Linked DNA regions of Drosophila melanogaster. The protein of the gene in region 1 purifies or fractionates together with the protein of each later gene. This does not show direct contact. Each region holds a gene or a part of one and is shown in the gene's direction. Other genes may lie near its edges.

Evidence for each region. The genes of interacting proteins can lie anywhere in the genome.
Region 2: the proteins of CG15891 (region 1) and Mvb12 purify together in Drosophila melanogaster (affinity purification with mass spectrometry, with the first as the bait; one large-scale study listed by BioGRID). This does not show direct contact.

Annotation. Positions count from the first base shown.
Region 1 is NC_004354.4:6,292,472-6,297,998, reverse strand, and holds CG15891 (uncharacterized protein), read left to right. Parts: upstream 1-2,653; 5' UTR 2,654-2,945; coding exon 2,946-3,395; 3' UTR 3,396-3,482; downstream 3,483-5,527. Other genes in the region: CG3815 (uncharacterized protein), read right to left, coding at 1-1,290, 1,351-2,035, 2,099-2,289, 2,446-2,493; CG15892 (uncharacterized protein), read left to right, coding at 3,861-4,189, 4,255-4,819; mldr (mulder), read right to left, coding at 4,892-5,264, 5,331-5,527.
Region 2 is NC_004354.4:18,095,369-18,104,078, reverse strand, and holds Mvb12 (multivesicular body subunit 12), read left to right. Parts: upstream 1-2,764; 5' UTR 2,765-2,986; intron 2,987-3,817; exon of another isoform or gene 3,818-4,014; intron 4,015-4,332; exon of another isoform or gene 4,333-4,356; 5' UTR 4,357-4,367; coding exon 4,368-4,573; intron 4,574-4,636; coding exon 4,637-4,792; intron 4,793-4,856; coding exon 4,857-5,211; intron 5,212-5,278; coding exon 5,279-5,500; intron 5,501-5,567; coding exon 5,568-5,687; 3' UTR 5,688-6,521; downstream 6,522-8,710. Other genes in the region: CG7135 (uncharacterized protein), read right to left, coding at 34-398; Taf8 (TBP-associated factor 8), read right to left, coding at 861-1,135, 1,193-1,321, 1,377-1,811, 1,872-2,019; RhoGAP16F (Rho GTPase activating protein at 16F), read right to left, coding at 6,831-7,098, 7,206-7,388, 7,458-7,563, 7,626-8,710.

The DNA of each region.
Region 1 (5,527 bases):
GGCGTGCTGCGGTGAAATGCGACAACAGTAACCAATGGCCGACAGGTCCACGGTCTCCGTTTGCGCCAGCGTCGTCGATGGCGAATAGTGTCCACCGTAGCCAATGTACAGCGTGCGGTAGCGCATGAAAATCGAATGGTCCAGCCCCAGCGAACTGAACCAGCGGCTATCCTCGAGCATGTCGCCCAGTGGCGTTATCACCGCACGCGCCTGCACTTTGCACTGCAGCAGCTTGAGCTCCAGGCGCGATGCCAGCTCGTATGCCTTCTCCGTGTCGCTACGGGCACGCGGCGCATAGCTTTCGGCAGCGGCATCTGCTGCTGCAATGGCCGCCGCTGTGGCCAGTGCCGGATGCAGGGCCGTTGCGGGATCTTCGTCGGCGGCATTGCCATTCTTTTGCGCCAGAATTGAGGACGTTTCGCTGGTGAAGAGCAGCGAGAAACGGTTCATATCCTCCGGCGCCAGTTGGCCTTGCAGGGCAGCAGTTTCGCCAGCCACATGTGTGCCATCGACTGACGCCAGTTGACGCAGGCGACGAGCGGCCGTGCGATTCTTGTACTGTGTCACAATCTCCGGATGCTCTTCGACCAGCTGCTGCAGACGCTGGTGCGCCAGCTTCTTGATTATATCGACGTCCAGGTGTAAGAGGTCTGCATCGATAATACCCGTTGATTTCTTGCTGTCCTCCTCGTCCTCCTCGAAGCTAGCCTCCACCTCTAGGCTGGTCTTGGACTCCACCTTGACAACCGACGGCTGTTCGCTGGCCTGCGCATTCGATTCTGTATTGGGATTCTCCGTATCCACTTCGCCATTCACTTTATCGGCGGGAGTGTTCGTCTCGGTCCTTTTCTCTTCAGGACTGGGATCGCTGTCGCTATCGCCATCTATGGCCGTCTCCAAGGTTCCGAATTCCCTCTGAATCTCACGGAATTTGGCGTGAGCCGTGCGCAAGGCCTCCAGATCCTTGAGCAGCGATTCGGTGACCGACTCACGGGATATCTCCTCGACTTCGGTGGGCAGGTTATTGCGCCGCTTTACCCGATCGTAGCGCAACGTTTGGCGCATGGAGGGCAACAGCGGCGGCGGATGATCGTAGTGGTAGCGCACAATGGCTGGCACCTCGATGTGGGCGCGAGCACGCAGATTTCTCTTGGTGCGAAAGGGCGGATTGCGCGTGTTGACACGCCGGAAGAACTCAAGCTTGACATTTTCATGGTCAAGTGGCTGGTGGAAGCGATTCCAGAGACGCACCCGCTCCGTGGCCGAAATGCTATTGGTCATATTGGCATCCTGTGAACAGACATCCTCATTAGAACCCAAGCAGACCTCCATGTGCGTTGGCTGACTTACGATAAAATTCTCGGCATGATTGGGGCACATCCACAATCCAGCTGGCAGTGCCGTCAGTGGCGGATCCAGGCAATCCTGGTGAAAGTAGAGCGGACAGTAGTCGCAGGAGATGAGCGGCGCCCGTTTGCAGGAGCGCGTGCAGTAGAAACAGGTTTTGGCGGGCAGCGGCACCAGTCCCTGGGCATCCAGCTCAAACGGCTTGGAGTTGCGTCGCTGATTGCCGGCGCATCTGCGATTACCGCCATTTCCGCTCGGCGGATGCGTCTGCTGTACGGGTTGCACCTTGCCATTGCCCGGGAACTGGGTGTGCAGCTCGAGCTCCGGCGGCAGCGAGAATTGCTGCGGATTCATCATGGTGGCCGCCCTGATGACATCGTCCAGCGGCGTTGGCTTCTTGTTCGGATCGAGGGCGCGCTGTATGGACATCGGCATTTTGGCCAGCAGCTTCTCGGTGCTATTGCGTTCGCTGTTGCTGCGTTTGCGCAGGTTGCGGATCTTCAGCGGTATGGACTCCAGATCGCCAGACGATGGAGTATTCGCCCGTGAGCCACTGCCCGCCGAAGGCACACGCTCCACGGAACTGGCCTTGGATGAGGAGGCCGGCGGCTGGGAGAGCTTGCTCATGCGACAGCTGTGGCACAGCCACTGGCCACTGGGTATGTCCTCCTCGCTCAACGGTGGATCACTGTGGCGAAAGCACGAAATCAGCACTCAAAATGAGCAGCTATATGCGCGTGTATATACTCACTGGCATTGCAGGTGGAAGCTGGAGGGGCATCGATCGCAGCACAGCAGATTGCCGCCCTCCTCGCAGGCGTCACAATAGTCGTGGTTGTGGCCCCTGCCCGGGCGCCTGTAGTACGGATGCTTCGTGTTGGTGGACCGCTGCATCATCTTCTCGTCCTCGTTGGGCGGCGGGCGGATGAGCTGCTTGATTTGCTGCGCGAAGTAGTAAAGTTATGTTAAATGTGGGAAATGGAGACAGTTGTGAATGCGTTAATGTGGCAGCTCTAGAGTAGCCACCGCCGATTGGAATTGGAGCTCCGGGCAGTGGACACACTGAAGCTCTGAATGGCGTCCCGGCGGCACACTCACCTCCATGATGCTCAGTGAGGCGTTCGGGTCCTGGTCCAATTTTGACATCTTTTTCGCTCGCTCCTCTTATCCGGTGTACACAATCAATCTCGGAGCGACTTCACTTGGCGACGGAGGCGGGCGCAGTGTCGGTTGTCCAGCCCTGCGCATCCGACGAGCGAATGGCCACACTGCGCGCCCACCGATAGGCGATTAACGGAAATTCAGTGCAGACTGCATTTCACTCCAAATCTAACTACTTGCAATTAATAAAGTTTATATTGGGTATACACATTCGTAACCGAAAAATACCCAAGCAAACAAATAGTTAAAAATTAAATACCCAAAATTCTCATATTTCGCTCAGACCTCACTATAGACACCTATATGTTTACATCTTTTGGGCACACCACTAGCTAGCACTCGCTGTTTTGGACCAACGCCCGCTAAAAGAGCATCACAGCTGGCGGACGACGCAATTTGCCAGTTGATTTTACCAAACAATAGAACAAAATAGTGCAATGTTTTCGATATTTGGCAAACGCAAGCCCGCGGAAACGCCCACGGATGACCAGCCCATCCAGGGACCGGCGGAGGCAACCCGTCCAGGCACCAGTGTCGATGATTTCGTGTTCATAGAGCGCAAACCAGTACCGGATGCTCCTCATCCGGGTGTTCCAGCCGGCTCCATGTATCCACCTATGCCGCCAGCGGGCTATCTGCCCTATCCGCCGATGCCAGGACCGCGCAGCGATCAAGTGAAGCAGCCCGGAGCCCAAGGACCCGTCAATTACTTGCAGGACATTCCATTCGAGCTGGCACCCGGATTGGCCAACAAGGATCGCTACACCAGCACCCAAATGCAGGTGGACAGCATATTGGCGCTACTAACGCGCCAATTGTCCGTGGACGAGCTGGCCGAGGAGTACACCTTCGCCCTGGAGCGATCCGTGCAGAACGAGTGTTACTAGCTTTAGATCCATAGATCCACTGGTTAATATTCATACATTACATTACATTACATATAATAAAACGTTGCTTATTTAATTGTAAACCACATATGCAGTGCTCTTTTGCTTGTTAGTGGTGTGAGTCATTGGAATTCCTTAATCTTGTTGCCATACAATTAATGTTCCATTTCTTTGAAAACATGTAGAACTTTTCTGACTATCAAGTAGTCCTTTGGTTTTACCTCGCTCACATTTCAACTGGGACTGCTCATAAGGTGATCCACTATCGCAGCGTGAATACATAAAATTGTTAGTGCTCCCGTTTACCCAAATTTTTCGTACACAAAAAAGATTTCGAAACATTATTTTGTGTTTATAAGTAACCAAGTTCAAAGCTAAATTTCCAATACGTACAAATTTACCAAGCCGAGACGAGCCGTTCCGTTTCGTTTCGTTTAGTTCAGTTCCGTGTAGTACTCTTCAGCCATGGCCAGCTCCAATGTCTCGGATTGGGATGAGCCGATGCCCACGTCGACGGAGTCGCTGCCCGAGGAGGAGGATCCGGATGTGTGCGCAGAGGAGAACGTAAAGAAGCGGCGGGAGGAGGAACTGGACAAGCTGGAGTTGTATGTGCGGCGCATGGCCTACCAGCCGACACTGCCGCCCAAGGTAAAGCCCTACGACGTGGCCCTGTCCAAGCCCAAGTTGCACACGCTCATCGACAACTACGAGCAGTTCAAGGATGTATACGATCCGAAGCTGCGGGCCAAGCGGATCAAGCGCATGCTGGGCAAATACAAAGCCATTACCACGGAGTAAGTGCAGCGCTTGCATCAGTTGCTAACGCGATCTAATCATCTCATCTCATTCCCAAAAACAGACAGCTGGAGCAGATCCTTAAGAGCAACAAGACCAAGGAGCGAAAGAAGGAGGATTTCCTGAAGCGCAAGCAGGAACTGTACTACAACATGCTGACCAAGCTGGAGCGCCAGTGCCGCACCCAGTACCTGAACGTGCTCATCAAGAAGTTCGCCAAATTCATTTCCCATCTGGCCACAACGATGCGCATTCCGCCGCAGCTGGTGGATCCGTATGCGCGCATGCAGCGCGGCATCTTCTGCAACATCCTGTTGGCCATTGGTGTGCAGCCCACCTCACAGTCGGCCATCTACTACACCAGCCAGGATGCCATCGAGTACGATGTGTGCCATCGCCTCGCGCACGCGCTGCTCAGTTTGATCATTAAGGCGCTGGACTCGGCAGCCACAAGGGATCCCAACGAGCTGGCCAAGCCGGCCGACTTGGACTTCGAGATGGACAATCACATCAAGCGTCGGCTCATGTGCGCCGCCGAGAAGAAGCTGCTGTACGAGCGCCGTCGCAAGAAGCCCCAGCCGCAGGGTCTTGGAGCCTTTGAGAAGTGCACCCGCTATGACTGCGACTAGGACGGCTCCTTCAGTGTATTCGTGTTAACATTTGGCTACTATTTATTCGCATAAGAAGTCTTGCTCACATGGTCACCTCGTTGTTTTGGTCTTGGTTTTGGTGGCGGGTATCGTCTGCTCCTTCATCTGGATGCACAGCCAGTTGGCGGGCACCTCGAAGCTGTCTGTGGGATGCGGCGTGTACTGCGCGCAGTAGGGCACATGCCAGGTGTCCGCCACTTGGTGGGCACACAGCCGATGACGAACGGGCTCCTTGACTATAATCTGACCCGTTTGCGTTTGGGTGACCAGGGAGAACTGGTGCTCCTGCTGCCAGCGACGAAAGATGGGCTTCAGCTCGGTGCCCAGATGAAAGGCGTGACTGCGCATCAGGTCGCGGGAGAAGAAGTCTGTCTCCTGGCCGCTGCGCAGCGTGGCATACAGCAGGAAGGGATCATCGTGCGACCTATAAGCAAACGAACGAACGAATTAGTCTACCTATCCCTTTCCAATTCGAGATGAATTCCCTTACAGATTGCTGGTCAAGAAGAGGCTGGCATTGCAGTGCACATAGTGCATGGCCTGCTTGGACCAGTTGCGCATGTGCTCGCGTCCCAGGACGAGGACACGCTTGTCCTGTTCCCGGAAATGACGCACCACCGTAGCCACTAGCTTGGCCAGCTGCTGCGGCGTCTTTTTGGTGCCCGTAGAGTAGGCCACATTGAGGCC
Region 2 (8,710 bases), about 12 Mb from region 1:
TGGATCCTAGACACACTGCCGCTTAGAACTCACTTGGGAGCCAAAGTCCAAGCGCTGAAACTATCCACCGCCCTCCACATGAGTGCCTCCAGCTTGGGCTTGATGTGCATGTAGAAAAGCGTCTCCTTGTTATAAATGTGCAGGCGGGCCAGAATGGCCTGCTTCTCGTCCGGCATGGACTTGACGATCAGGGATGTCTCCATTGCGCAGCTCTCGGCATTGCGATACTTAATCTGAGCTCGGTAAATGTTGCTGCAGTAGTTTTCCCCGCCACGCGTCAGATTGGTCAGCTGGACACCGATGACCTGCAGGTCCAGCTGCTGCAATCCGTGCTCCAGGGTGCGCCTGAAGAACTGCGGCGTAAGGTACAATGGTGGCTCCTCCAGTGCGTCCGACATCGTGTATCCGTAAATTGCAATTGTGGCGGTGAACAGCCGGCTTTTTATGCAAAATCTCGGAGAGCACTTGCCGATGCCTCATTTGTTGCCTAATTGATCTTAATGGACAGGGCACGACTGGACCTTCCTCAATTGCCTTGATGGAAGTGCATTTGCCGCTGGATTAGCGGTTTGCAGATTGAAGAACATAGCCGATTTGCAGATCTTCCAGCACAGATCGTTGCTGGAGTACCCATTTATTTTATTATTTAAATATATAACACGAAATATTATGCCATTTTGAGGAAATTGGCCCTATACAATGTCTTCAGTTCAAACTTAAAGATTCCAAATATGTAAGTATAAAATAAAATATATTAGTCCTTGAACCTAAAACTACACTTTAAATTTTTTAATTTTTTAAATTTAAAGAAAACAGGAGTGTTTACATTTTCAAACCATAATTAAAAACGCCTGCTACTCTTAAAGGTTAGTTTTGGTTATCTCTAGAGTGGAGGGCGTTCGTATCGTTGGCGCCGTGGTGGCCAGACTCCTGCTGGGCATGGTTCCGGGTGTGGGGCAATTTTTGGATCGCTTGGGCAGAGTAGCCGCCCGCAAATAGGGATTATCGATGTTGGGGTTCTCCAAAATGGCCTTGTTTGTGTTGGAATTGGGCTTGATATCCAGCTCGGGCTTCTCCTCTTTGGATTTGTCGCCATCCATCTCCTCGTTTTCGCTATCGCCCTCTTCGCCGTCGTCTAAAAGGGTGGAAAGTGTTAGCACTCGTGGCATCTGACTATTTGAAAGAAACGCACCTTTGCTGGGCTCATCTTCTGTGCGATTGGCCACCAGATAGTGGTACTCCAGCTCCTCGAAGTCAAACACCTGATCTGTGGGATTTAAAGCGGCTGCATAGGGAGGAAAGGCCGGTTTGCAGGCAATTACTGAAAGGAAATGGTTATTAATTATTGTTCGCTGGATGATTATGGTGCCTCTTACAAGGAAACATGTTGTCCTCGGTGGGAAAGAGGTTGTTCGTCTCCGTGGTCTTGCAGAGGAACTTTGTGAGCGCCTTCTCGATGTCCCGCTTCTGGCAGGCGGCCTTCTCCCTGATGGCCTCGTACTCTGTTACGGGCTGCTTGTGCGTGGGCGTCCGTATGTAGGCGTGCGGATCGGGCATGGGAGGGAAGTAGCTGGGCACGTAGTGGGGATGCGGGGCCTTGATGCCCGCTTGCAGCAGACTCAGCGGGCGCTGCTGCGTCTGCTGTGGGGGCAGTGGAATGGGCACGTGCGTCTCCTTGCGCATGTACGGATCCAAATTGGAGATCGAAATGCCCATGTTAATCAGGGCCAAACTGACATCGCCCACGGTGGGCATCGTGCGTCCACTTAGCTCGCAGTAGTTATGCGCCGAATTGCCGATCTCCCAGATCACTGGAATGGCGTGCTAAATGATTATCCTAGTACAAAATGGTAATCACAATGTCAACTTACACGCCTGCAGCATCTGGGTGAGCGTCTCCAGGCTGTGGTTGCTCGCTTGGCCGGCCCCCTTGTCCAATAGCAGCTGGGACACCACCTTGTTTAGGATCCGCCTATAGGGATCAACATTGGACACTGTTACCGCCTCCACCTTCTCCATGGAGACAGAATTCAATTTGTTTATGCTAAAGTAGAAACCGCAGTGAATATTGCCACTTTAGCGGCTAGTGATGGCACTGTTCGGCACTATCGACTACAGCTATCGGCGCAACGCTCCTTATGAGTTCAAGTGCAACTCCACTGGTTATTTCAATATTTCATCTGGCATTAAGATTTTATGTTAGTTAAACCAAGGCTTGGCATTATAAATCCTAAATTTTCAGTTCTTAAGAGTTTATTGAAAAGCTCAGTGGAAAAACACGTCACCAGAGATTGTTAAACTGATGAAAGACATTTTAAATTCTGAACTAAGTCCTAGGAAATAAAGTAAAAGTTATTTTATGTATTTATAGAAACAGGCAATTTTTTAATAATTCCAACAAACTAGTTAGTTATTCCCCTGCATAAGTCTAAAGCATCTTTTTAAGATAAATTCTCAACCATTATTAAATAAAATCGCTGAGGCGTCAACTTATTTATAAGCTGCATTACACAGCAATAACATATTATAATACAATTTTACTGTACTATATTACTTCTATATTAGTAGTTATTACTGTACACTTCTACTATTCCACACTACTTAGTCATACACTATACCATAGATTCCTCAAATTGCCTTATAATATTTTTAATATAAAATGATGACTGGGCAAACATCGGTAGTCGATGGTTGGTTCAAAAACAATCGATATATAGAAAGGAGTGCATCGCAGGTGCACCATCTCCAACAAATCAGTGTATTTTTTGTTGTTCTTTGCCAAACAATAGAAGACGAACGTACTCGGAAGTAAATTAAACAAAATCGGGCGACCGGATCGGGCGTTAATCGTTAATTGTTCAATTAAATGCAGCTTATTAGGCGCCGGGCTGCATAGTGCGATCGCAGAGTCACCGAGTGGACCGGGCCCCCTGGCGCTATAGTCGCAATCCGAACCCGAATCGCTCCATCGGGAATCTTTAATTGTGTACGTATATATGGATGAATATGGATGGATGTGTGTGGATGCTGCGTTGACTAATGTTTTTCGGATGGGGTATAGAACAAATGTATAAATGGATGGCTGAGTATTGGGAGGGGGATAGCCACTCGAACTTCCTAGCAATTTGCACTTATAATTGGAATCGTGTGCGGTCTTTTTCGAATGGATTCTATTTTTAAGCTCCGTGCTCCGTGCTCCACTTTGGTTATCAGCCGGAGTTTCCCCACTTCCCCAGAGTTGTGTTGCATATACATATGTACTAGCTGTAATCCTCTTTCTTTGTCTGCGCGCCAAAGAGTTTTCATTTCGAAACCTTAGAAAGTCTAGGTGGACAGGGAAAAATAAAATCTTGATTAATGATCGATGGGATATTACTATGAAAAACAATATTATTAACAACAGTTAATAGTAGTTAATATTGTATACTAACTCCCTATGAGCACTTTTACGTAATGATAAACAGAACAGAATTCATTTCATTGATCACATAATGGCACCTTTAACCATATCAATATTAATATATTAACAAAACAAGCACTGCTTTGGTTCGTTTGTTTTGTTTTTGGGTAGTATCCCTGGTCCGACTTTTGTTTATTGCATTTGGCTGGTGGGTTTTTGCAGTTTTACAGATGACTCAGAGCTGTCGGCAGTCACCTGTCTATGTATATCTTATCAGTAATTAAATACAGAACATATTGACAATCGAGAAAACACACAAAATTGTAAAAAAAAAGAGAGTCATCTCCTCCATTCTATTCCGTTGTAAAGTGCGCACTCGAACGTGCGGCTGCGTTTGTTTACTTCATTTCTTTGGCGACGTGAGCATGTGAGTGGTCAAAGAGAAACTCGGACCTGGCCCTGGTGTGGCGACCTACAAAAGAATGCCATGCAAAAAACCCAGCAGCACGATCATGAATCACTGGTGTGGGGCGGCAAAAAGCACCACCAGATCAACATCATCACCACCACCGACACCAGCAGAGATCAGATATAACTCGGTATCGGCGGTACCGGTTTGTATTTCAAAGTTGTTTGTGCTGATACATAAACAATTAAACAAAAAAATACCCAAATTAGTTTCAAATTGTTTATAGGGGTGAGAACGTATTTGTTTACTGACTTCCAAGAAACGCCAACATTCTTTTCACTATCTAATTTGGCTCCAGTTAAGCCAAAAGCTCAACAAAGTGAACCCTTAACTGGTCTTAATATCAACTTTCCCTCCATAAACTTTAACTTAACTTGCATAATGTGCAAGTTAAAAAATATATATATATATATATATGTATATACATCTAGGATTCATAACTCAAATTGTCAGCTTACTAATTGCTCTGTCGGTGAATTTGCCTCAGGAATCCGAGCGATGAACAAAGTGGGCAAGCACATTCAAAGCGGCATCGGTGGAGCACCCAACGCGGCATTGTCCACGGCGGCTCTACTGGGTACTCCGCTGGAGGCGACCAATGGTGCTGGCTCGACCAGCACCACCAATGTATTCAATTCCATCATGAGCTTTCTGCCGGACAATCGACCCATCACCTCGCTGCACATCGTCGAGGATTTCGAGCGGTTAGTGTGCAGTGGCCCATTTGACAGTGATTTGTCCATACTAATAGCTTTTGTGCGTTTTAGCTGCCCGAAGAACTTCAGTGCCATAAGCCGCACCTACGACCAGGATTCGGATGCGGACCTATGGCGCGACTACAGCCTGTTTGGACGCCAGAACACACGCTACCTCTGCCTGTCCAAGTCCGAGGGCCTGCCGGAATACGTGGTGGAGACCCTACAGTGAGCTCAACTCATTGGATTCCATCTCCTCTTCGTTTATAAATGAAATCTACTTGGTTTTCAGAGTGATTTCGGATAAAACGCCGCCGCCCAAGGAATTCTCGCAGGTCTCCCGCACTGCCGATAGCGACCAGAAGGCCTGGCGCAAGCGGCAGTTGATCTACAAGCTCTCCAAGCGCGGCACTGTGACCCAGGCGGTCACCGACATAATACTCTGCTCCAAGTTGAAGGCAGCGCCCGATGGCTTTAAGCTGGCCGGCGATATCAACGGAGTGCTTATCTGCTACAAAACCAGCGCGATCCCAGTGCGCCTTTCGCCGCCAGTGCCAGGTGGAGGATTGCCAGCTCCAGCCACTTGCGAGGTGGAGCAGGCCCTGAACCGCCTGAATCTCCAGGGTCAACGCAACTCACGTGGACCAGTAAGTCGTGGCTCTGAGTCAATTGCGTCTTAAAAAACTTTCAATGCTTGGCCATTTCATCAAACAGCTGCCACAACCGCCGACTGAACACCATGACTATGAGGAGATCCAAGCCAACTATCAAATAAACTCGCCACAGCGACCGGCGCCACCGCGGCCAGCGGGAGTGGGTTCTGGCGGAGGACACGGTACTTACGGCGGAACGGGCACCTTGGGCACCTACACCGAGCTGGAGGGAGTGCCTTTCGTCATGGACGTTAGGCTGCAGCGCAACCAAGCTGTGAATGATGTGAGTGACGCAGCCAGTGGCTTTCAACCTCTCGCTCTAATTCGATATTCGAAATATGTATGCATAGATACCTACACTGCCAGAAATCTCTACGCTGCTCAAGTCCCTGGACTATGACTTTCAGCTGGAACGTCAGATCTTGTGCACCATGAAGTCATCGGCATCTAAGAACCCGTTCTTTAAGTAATATTCGCAAACTTTCAACAGAAGCGTCGCAAATTGATGGTTGGGCAAATGTAAACAGCATGGCAAAAGAACCGGAAATGAGTGGATTTTATATTTAGTTTAACGTAATCGCAAATAGATGCGCGTGTGGCAGCTGCCATGGTTAACCCAGTAGTTATTCAGTTGGTATTAAGTTCTGAGGACCCCGGCCCCTTAGAGTAAAATGTGTGTAATATTCCTGTGCCTTCGATATGTATCTAATTTGGATGCTCGCCCGAGCAATCAAACACCTCAGTTTCGTAGAACCCCTCATTGGAAAGCAACCGAATCAGAATCCTACCTATTTACATCATAGATATCATTCATATACATACATGCATCGATTAACCCCAAATCAAATTGTGATCAAAGGAGCGAGCGCAATGTTTTGTCATTAATTTAAAGGCGCTACATCAGATGGCTCATTCGCATATGTATTTCGAAAGGCCGACGCATAAGATACATGTACATACATGTGTATACACCTATGTTAATGTTGAATAAAGTCCAGAATGCGGACTAAAGCTAATATAAACCTAGTACATACAAGCATATATCTAATATATATATATATATACACGTTTATAGGCCACATAGCACTTAAAACCAGTTGGTTTTTAAAAACATATATCTATTACATATTAGCTCTAGTGACGATTAGACTGTATTGCAAAATCATAGATTCTTCCCAGCTGCCTCCGTCCCCGTCATCCGCATTCCCAGCTCCTTTTCGCCCCTCTTCCTCCAAAAAATACCCCACCATGTTATATAGCAGTTCAAATACAAGAAAAAAATATATATACGCCACTGAAAATACAATATCGAGTCTTCTTTTTTGATGATTCAGCGGCAGAAGAGCTTTGGGACAAACGTGGCTCTGGACTTCCTGGGAATTCGTAAGAGCATCTGAGCATTAGTCAGTTTAAATAATTATTAAAGATATCAAATTGAGAAAACAATTAGTTTTAGTGTTTATATTAGTAAACATAAGTACAAAAGTTAGTTGATAAAGTAAGAATATAAAAAGTAATCTTAGGACACAATTGCTAGCGGGGCGTAAAGTCATTCCATATATGTACAGTGCTCTCTCTGGGATGAAGGATCCATTGGATGTCATTGGGCCAGCTCAGAATAGATTGTGAAAGAGCAGGTCCGGCTGCGACAGAGTCTTCTTTAGGTTGCGCATGCTCAGGCGGCGGCGATCGGCGGTGCATCTGTAGACGATGTGATCGGGATTGGAAACAGATTCGGGAGCGAATCGGGAATGGGTATAGAGGTGTGGCAGGTACAGTGGGGTGTTCGGTTTCGGGTTGAGGATTTCGGATTTCGAGTGGTTAGCAAAGCGTTCGACACAACGGCACAGTAGGTGAGCGGTTTGGATGAGACGTAAGCGGCTGGGATTCGGGTTTTGTGGGTAACAGTAGCGGCGGGCGCCCGGACACCAAATGGACCATCACCTGGGAGACTGGGGCTGTTCCTCCTCAGCGGGGCTCGCACTTACTCGAATATGCGCCCCTGGTACTCGATCATCAGCTTGACGCAGTCGGCCAGCGTTTCGCCCTCGCGCAAAAGTTGCTGGATGTCCTGCATGTGGACGCCCTGTGGCACCGTGTGAAAGATCGACGGCGTCACCGATATGGACAGCGTTTCAGCGCTGATCTGCTGCAGCGGCACCTTGGTTATTCTGCAAATTCAAATGTATATTAGTTACCGATACATATGTATATTGTAGTACTACGCGAGGCTCTCTAACCTATTGAAGTGACCGAAGATGTAGTCCATGGTGTCCCGGTTGCTCTCCGGCAGCGAACGAATCAGTCTTTTCAGGGAGTCCAACTTCGCAGACAGATCGGTTAACACTGCGCGTAGGAAAGGAAGAATTAGAAGTGGGCACTTGAAGAAGAATACCTTCCGAACTTACACCACTGATTGGGCTGTCCAATGAAGGTCTTGGCCTCGTTGACCCTGACCAACGGACTCTTGATTTCGCGCAGGAAGAGCTTAAGCACACCGGTCAACGTGTGTATATCGACGTCCGGCTGACGCAGTGAATCGTAGTCGTTGGCGTCGATGCTGAAGCGCAGCGTTTGGATTTTATTGTAGTCGCCGCACTGCCGATAGATGCCCTCGATGGGCTGCGTAGATCTGCGGTACTTTTGCTCGATTAGATCGCAGCAATCCACAACGATGCGCGGCACAGTGCGGTGCTGGTCGTGCTTGAGGACCATCTCCAGTTCCGTATCGAAGCAGGGCTCGTCGAAGAAGATGCGCTGTTCCCGCAGCGTTTCCACGCTGGGTCTGCTCTTGAACCAGTTGGACAGGTTCATCCAGGCCACCAGGCGCGAGGGTCGGACATTGGGACTGCCGTGAGCAGTCCGCTTGCCAGGCGCAGCAACGCCGCCTGCGGCTGCAAAGCGCGCCTTATCCTTATCCCTCTCCCTGTCGCGTTCCTGAAGCAGTTCCGTCAACTGGCGACTCATCTCGCCCACCTTCTGCTCCAGCTCTTGGCTGTATGTGGTCTGGACGAGCAGATCCTGCTCCAGAGTGTGCATACGCTGCTTGAGATCGTGCCAACGCTTGGAGCAGCTGCTGCAGCACTCCAGTCCATTGCGGCGATCCCTGCCGGACTTGGACCTGCCCACCGCCGGACTGCCGCCAGAGCTGGAATTTGAGGAGCAGACATCTATACTGGTGTTGGACACCAGCACGGCTGTGTTGGTTGAATCGTCCAGGAACAGGCGGGTCAGATCCTTGCTGCTGCTGCTCTTGAGCAGAGCCAGCTTGTTGGGTCTGGTTTTCAGCTCTCTGAGTAGGACGACCGCCTCGGGCCGCCCGGTATCCTGCTTGCCCGCCTTGTCCAAGGTGCAATTGGAGCCACCACTGCCCTCCAGGCGAAACAGAGTGCTCGAGGTGACGCTGTGGCCGCGCACATAGGCGTGTTGGGCCTGCGACGATGACGACGACGTCGTGGAGCGATCGCGAAAGCAATTCATCAGGGTCTTTCCG